Linked DNA regions of Mus musculus. Each later gene encodes a partner of the first gene's protein in a complex. Links are inferred from orthologs where the notes say so. Each region holds a gene or a part of one and is shown on either strand. Other genes may lie near its edges. The genes, in order: Fzd4 and Ndp.

The links.
Region 2: the proteins of Fzd4 (region 1) and Ndp are in contact, whole or in part, in a crystal structure (PDB 5BQE), measured with the Homo sapiens proteins. The link is inferred for Mus musculus from reciprocal best matches to the Homo sapiens genes FZD4 and NDP. Residues at the interface, in NP_036325.2 of Homo sapiens: Ser51, Met52, Gln54, Asn55, Leu56, Gly57, Gln95, Phe96, Met105, Thr107, Lys109, Ile114, Asn152, His154, Met157, Cys158, Met159, Glu160, Gly161, Pro162; in NP_000257.1 of Homo sapiens: Asp33, Ser34, Pro36, Arg38, Met40, Arg41, His42, His43, Tyr44, Val45, Asp46, Lys58, Met59, Val60, Leu61, Lys102, Lys104, Leu106, Tyr122, Leu124, Ser125.

The regions. Positions count from the first base shown.
Region 1 is NC_000073.6:89,407,350-89,410,920, reverse strand, and holds the end of Fzd4 (frizzled-4 precursor), read right to left. Parts: coding exon 2,561-3,571; 3' UTR 811-2,560; downstream 1-810. UniProt on the Homo sapiens protein: Receptor for Wnt proteins.
Region 2 is NC_000086.7:16,891,048-16,894,873, reverse strand, and holds part of Ndp (norrin precursor), read left to right. Parts: intron 1-92; 5' UTR 93-298; coding exon 299-466; intron 467-3,826. UniProt on the Homo sapiens protein: Activates the canonical Wnt signaling pathway through FZD4 and LRP5 coreceptor.

The DNA.
Region 1 (3,571 bases):
TGTGTTGTTGCTAAGACTATTAAGCCAGTCTGAACTGCCAGGCCCCTTCGCTCAAACATAACTTCCCCTAAAAAGGCAAATTGCCTGGGAAGATAGAAAAATTGTCAGTACACTAGCTCTAGGATCCAGAATGCAGGTGGCTGGTTTCACCCAAAGGGTTGTGGTTGCCAAGGTTATTGTTGATACATGCTCAGCACCTACTGCTCTCTCTTTGGAGGTTGCAGTCTTGGACCTACAATCACTGAAGCATTACAAAGAGAAGTGCATTACAAAGTCTGCACAGCAAAGCTAGTCAGCTACTACTGCCTTGCTTTTCATCCCTTTCCTGTGCCAGAGTCACTGCACAACTCCCAAGACACCATAGCAGAGCGTGAGTAAGGGCAGAATCTGCCCTTGGGTGCACACTCCAGGGCCCTGGACAGCTATGGGAACTGTCTGTAAGCAGTGCAGGGCGTGTCCATTTCGCCTTTCATAGGCAGCTCATTCAGGAGTTAAATTGGCCCTTCCATGGATCAGTTCTCCTGCTCCTGGAGCCTTATGCCCTAGTCCAGTCTAGGTACTCAGGCTGCATAAATCACCAGGGGCCACCCAGGTCCACGGAGGTCTCTATCTCACCAGCCCCAAGCCTCTCATTTCCAAACACACGACAGGCCTATAGCATCTTGATATCAGATATCTACAGAACTTGCAAAAACAAAAGCTGTGGGGAGAAAATATAGTCAGAAACAAAGCTCAAACTGAGAGAGAGAGAGAGAGAGAGAGAGAGAGAGAGAGAGAGAGAGAGAGAGAGACCCAGTTTTTAAAATTTATATTTCCAGAATTTGAACACCTATTTGCCTATTTGGGATTTGGAATCCATGAAATGTTTCTCCACAAAGTAGGATTGGACAAAACATTAAGGGCTCTCTTACTAAAAGCATGAATCAATAAATAACTGAAGTTGCTGAAGCAGACAGGCATGAAATACAAGGAGAGCAACCTGTGACATGTACAATGTTTTGTCCCAGAGATCTGGTGATTAAAAGGCCTAAGGCAGGTTAAGAAAAAGGCCAGTCACAATTTTAAAAGAACTTCAACTTTTGATAGGTTGCTAGCGGGTACCCCCCTTGTGAGGGACTTAAAGCATAAATTTTAAAGGCTTTGGATACCCCAGCAAAGGCAATTAAGACTCGTGCTGTTAGACTTTGCAGCTCATTTCACTCCGTCTACACCATATCCCCTGCTAACCAATCCAGCCTCTGGCCAGCATTCTGGAGGTTCATTAGGCATCATATAAATACTCCAGGCCACACTGCCTCCAGTGAAATCTTATAAGAACCTTTGTCCATTACTAAGGAACAATTATGCACCACGTATTTGGATCTGCTGTCCTTAGTTGCCTTTGCAAAGCTGAATAAGTCTCCATTGTGGCAAGTAGACCAAACTCCGATAACATTCTTATGCTACAGGGGGGAAAGGCACTATCACACTAAGAATGCAAGTTGACCACAGTTTTAAAGTCAATTGAGTATACTATGTCATGGTCCAAGAATGTGCTTTTAATTGTAATTGACACACACAAATTACACAGTTAATCTGTGTGAATGCAAAGTTGCCAAGAAATTTAACATTTCAGTTCTTCCAGACTGGCGTCTGCCTAGATGCAATCACACAAACTAAAATATTTTAAGTCCCAATTGCTTAACATTGCTTAATGCAATAGGTCTCTAGGGTCGGTAAGGTAAGTCAACTTAGCAAATCTCATTTTTCTCTGAATTAAGTGATTGTCAGAAAGTGAATCACCTTCCCTTTTCCTCTCATTAGGCATGCTGCAGTGCAAAAAAAAAAAATCCTATAAAAATAACCTTTTTTTTTTTTGAGTCATTAGTTTAAAGTGAAGAAAACAGGGGCTGCCTAGAATTAGGGATGTTGAAATTTCAGGAGAGAGAAATCCACTGGATACCTTACGTGTGTTAGTACAGTACTTTTGTTTGCTCAAACAATTCTGTTTTACGACAAAGGCACTGAAGGATTTTGACACCACCTCTTGGGAGTGCGCTACAGAGTTCTAAACAGCAGACAGTGTAGGCCAGAAGATGTTTATGTTAGACCAGCCAAACTATAAAACTCTGCAACACGTCTCCCAACCCAGCATTTCCAGTGTTTATAGATCACTTTGCTATCTGCAAGACCTAGTTACTATTTAAAATTTAAAAGGGTTTTAAAAATTAATCTTTCTCCTTGCATGTTATCAACTCACAGTTGAAATCCCACCCAGTAGGAGCAAACACTATCACCCTGGGCTTCAGGAATCTAGGCGGGACCTCCACGGACTCCAAGCTGTGACCTGCTAAAGTGATCAACATTTTGATTTTTCACAGCTTTGAAAACCTCTAACTGGCTTTTCCATTTTGGACCATTCCAAAGTCTGCAGTGAAGCCATTGGTCTTCTGATGCTGAGTTGGGTGAGTGGTGGTGGGCTGACGTGGGTGTGTGTGGGCTGAAGTGTTTCTAAGTTTGTTCAAACTGAGATTCCCTGCATCACTTCCTTCACAATGAGGAACGAGGAAGCCGGCTAGTCTTATACCACAGTCTCGTTGCCTTTTCCTGGCTTCACCCAACCATTCCCCCTCTTCTCTCTCTTTACCTTCCCAGAATTCACCAATCGGTTAGAACACTTTTGCCACGTGTGAAGAGTTTTGGCAGACCAAATCCACATGCCTGAAGTGATGCCCACGAGCAAAGACATAAAAATTTTCAACATTTCAACTGCCATGTTTGAGTCATCTGCAGAATATCGAAAGAGTGCCCAGTTTGAGATTTCATAGAAATAACAGGCAATCACACAGGTTGCAGGAACCGTGTACAGTACTGAGAAGACCCCGATCTTGACCATTAGCCTTTCCAACTTGTCTGTCTTTGTCCCGTCTTTTTGAAGATTGGACCGGATTTTGAATAAGGCCACCAAACCCGCCGCAATGAACAGCGTTCCAATCACCAAATACGTAAAGAGAGGAGCCACCACAAAGCCAGTGAGGGCATCTAGATTTTGGTTCCCAACATAGCACAAGCCAGTCAGTTCATCGGCATCCACTAGTCTCATAATCAAGATGACAATGGTTTTCACTGCGGGAATAGCCCAGGCTGCGATGTGGAAATAAGAACTGTGCATTTCAATGGCTTCATGACCCCACTTGAGTCCGGCTGCCAAAAACCAAGTGAGTGTCAGAATAACCCACCAAATGGAGCTGGCCATTCCAAAAAAGTACATCAGCAAGAAAATTATTGCACATCCTGTGTTCTTAAGTCCTTCTTGGATGAGAACGGGCTCTGCCGCCTCTTCAAAATCACAGGATATCCTTTCCCGGCCTACAGTCAGCCGAACAATATAAGCAATGCTATAAATATTATAGCACATACTGAGAAATATGATGGGGCGCTCAGGGTAAGAAAACCTGGATGAATCAATCAGGAAGGTCAGCACGGTGAAGGTGGTGGAGATGAAGCAGAGGCTGGCCCACACAGCCATCCAAATATCCGTGAACTCCTTAGCTGAGCGGCTGTACAAGCCAGCATCGTAGCCACACTTGAG
Region 2 (3,826 bases), on another chromosome or scaffold:
GGCATGGAAATGTTTGACTTCATATCTCTTGTATTGCATCCATATTTCTTGGTATATATTTCTGGGTAAAATCATTTCTGATTTCATTCCAGCTGTGCAGCACATACTGCTGTGATCGGTTGCAAGTGAAAGAAGCAAGAGAAATTCCTGCATACAAAGGACAATGACAACCAGAAAGCGGCAGCCCTATCCTGCTCTGGCCTTGAAAGGGACTGGATCCTAGGAGGTGGCAGCATTTCCAATCTATTGTCCTCTGTCTCCCTCTGCTGTTTTTCTGGAGGAGTTTCCCTTTACAACAATGAGAAATCATGTACTAGCTGCATCCATTTCTATGCTCTCCCTGCTGGCCATAATGGGAGATACAGACAGCAAAACAGACAGTTCATTTCTGATGGACTCTCAACGCTGCATGAGACACCATTATGTCGATTCTATCAGTCACCCACTGTACAAATGTAGCTCAAAGGTAAGATCAAGGTCACTCCAAAGCCTTTGGAGGATACCCTTCTCCCTCATTAATACAAGAGCAGTCATAGTTCCTTGTCAGGGGATGGAGAGCTACGACCAGAGCCCAAACTGGAGCTCTATGACTGGCCTGCAGAACTTACAAGGGAATATTTCTTTAGAATTTTCTCACTATGCTTTCCACTTCTGTGTCTGTAATGGAACATGTGTGAGCTTATTCTGTTGTGGGTGTGTCTTACACCACTGGTTGGGAAATTCATGAGTGATAGTGTTCCTTTTTAATAAAGAAAAATAGGGGCTGGGAATAGGAAAAGTTGGGAAATTGAAAACCTCAGTTTAGATCCCTGGCATGGTGGTACACATCTCTAATCCCAAGACCAAGAAAGCAGAGACAAGAGAACCCATGGGAACATGCTCACTAGTCAGTCTAGCCCAAGTGACTCCAATAGTGAGCTCCAAGTTCAGTAAGAGACTGTCTTAAAAAGTAAGGGAGCAATAGAGAACCAAATCCTTAACCAACCTCTGACCTCCACAATCTGTGCACCATGTGCACATGTGCAGGAACATGCACACACCACATATGCAAAAAGAAGAAGACACAGAGCCTTTCAATTGTCATAATTCCCTTTACTTCCATCAACAACAAAAAGAATGGGGAATTTGTGGAGTATGATTGGACAATGGAGCATATTCTTGGAGGCTGTTCACACAGTTTTCTGAACTACCCCAGAACCATCTGGGTGGTCTAAACCTTCCTCCCTGTGTCACACTGATGTTAAAAATGACTTCACAACTAAAGATGGCAATTTGATCGCTTCTCATTTTATCTTGTTTAGCAGTTCCTACTTACTGGCAGTGGGTGGAGTGTTTCTTGCACAGGTCATCTGTGACTTGGTACTGTGAAGAGGTGTGCAAAGTAATAACATACTAACGGACCACCAAGGGTGGCTACCACATAGACCACCCAGAAGGGAGGCACAATGGAAGATGGAATGGGTCCTAAATGAGAGTTCTCATGACCATCATTGCCCCAGTCACATGTCTTAAATTTGTCCACACAGTAAATAAGACTTTGTTTAGTTCAACCTCAAACAATTTCCACTTTAGTCCTGAGACTAAAACAACAAAAACCATTTAAACATTCTCATATGTCAAACCTTTTTAAAATTAGCAATATAGTTAAGAATTTTACAAAATTCTATCAACCACTAGAATTAAGGTCATAGGAATCAATCTCTCCACTCTCCATTTCAAAGCATGCCTGCTTTTACATTTTCTATAATGTCTGTGGTTGTAGCCCAAGGAAGATCTTTAGTTTGAACGCTTCAAAAATTCAGTTAAATCAATTTCACCATTGTTCTAATAAGACCTAGGACTATGGGAAAAGAAATGGAGTTTTTTTTTTTTTCCTTCAAGAAAATGTCCTGGATCTTACTTATAGTTGAGGGACAAAACCAAAGAGAAATCATTAGACAAGGATAAATTCTGATGAAATTCCTTCTTGAAAATGGAGAAATTGAGCTGGAGTAGCCACCAAGGGGTAGGAGTGGGACAATCTTGCTTAGGTTTATTTTAGCACCACAGAAGCATAGAAAGCACTAATAACAACTGCAACAACAACAGCAACAAAGATAAGAGAAGCATCTTTATAACCACAATTGTTTAGATGTTGCTTCAGAAGCAGATGCCACAGCACTGATATCTAGTATTTAATTCATGTATGATTTCTTCCTTTGTTGAACTGTGCTTCATAATCATGTTTCTTTAGAGAAAGCGACAGACAGACAGACAGACACGGACACAGACACATACATGGACACGGAAACAGACACAGAAACAGACATAGACAGACAGACAGACAGACAGAGATGGGGGAATTCAAATTTAAAGAAAGCACCATTGTGATGAAAGGCAGGGTTATAGAAAATAGTAGAATAAATAAAAAATTGAAAGTGGAGAGCACTTGCCTAGTATGTGTGAGGTTCTAGGTTCCAAACCCAGAACCAAATAAATTAAAAAAAAATCTGGGAAGATAGGACAAAATGATGGAAGACCACCTTAGCATGTTAACCTCAGAGGGAAAGAGTCAAGGAAGAAATGTCCTTAACTAAATGTCATGAGGTTTGAGCATGACTTTTAGAAATGAATTTTAGTCAATTGTTATTCACCTTTGCTTCTTCCAGAGCACTACAGTAAATAACAGGGCAAAGATTGTGATGATAGAAGAAATGTTTCTAATTTCATGGGAACAATTTGTTTTCAGACATCCAAAATGACCCCAAATGTAGCAATGGTTTTATGTAAATGCTGCTTGTAATTATTAACCTTCCTTCCTTGGCCACAAAAAAAAAAAAGATGTGTCTGGCACAGCTTCAGCTACCAGACTCTTTCTGGATTAAATTTTCTGTATGTATTCAGGAAGAAAATTATTTCCATTTGGAAATATTCTATAGTTCTTAACTTTTCCAGACTCAGAATGGTAGTCTCTCTGATGATCCTGTTTTCCTTTAGAGATTGGGAGAGAAATGTTAGCCTATGTCCAGAAGGAAGAGGTCAGGGCAAATTTTATAGATTTACCAATATTTTTTCCTCAATATCATAAGCAAGAACATTATTTTCTGGACATATGACCATCCCTTCCCCTATCAGTTAATATTCTTGACATAGATTTGTCAAGTGGGTCTGGCCTCCTGACTACATGAAAGGCACACGTGGCCCAGGGAATGAAGCACACTGGCCCCAACACCTAATCAGTGTCAGTCACTTTACACCATATATTGTAATCATTACCGACACATTGGCCATGTAGGTGTTGTCATCCTCATGCTACAATGATGGAAACTCACAATCCACAAGAAAAGACAGATTAGGGTTCCTGATGCTCTGAGAAGGGCAATGTTATGCTTGGAGGCTTTGTTTTTCCACTGCCTGATTCCTCGTATTGAAAGAATGTATAAAGAACACAGAAACTATTGTATAGAATCCAGACGTAGCTATCTATAGTAGTCATTCATATTCTATAAATGTTTTCTAGAAAAATAGAAATAATGGATAAAGATTTTCTGGGCACTTTTAATGGGACTTTCTGTATTTTATGGCCATGAACTTGCATTTGGCCAGTTTTACGTTCTGTCACCCTCCTCCTAGCAATTCAGTAAGGAACTAATAATACTCAGGCAAGACTGACCCATCAAGAAAGACAGGATAGCCACTATTTAGATTATATTTGGGGCTTTTGTTAGTCATTGATATCGTATGATGTTAAGTCCAAGGGAGGCTAGGATTGGCAAGCTCATTCCCTCTCTTCCCAATAAACTACATTTTCATACAATTCCGAGTAAAAACTATGAAGCAAATCTTC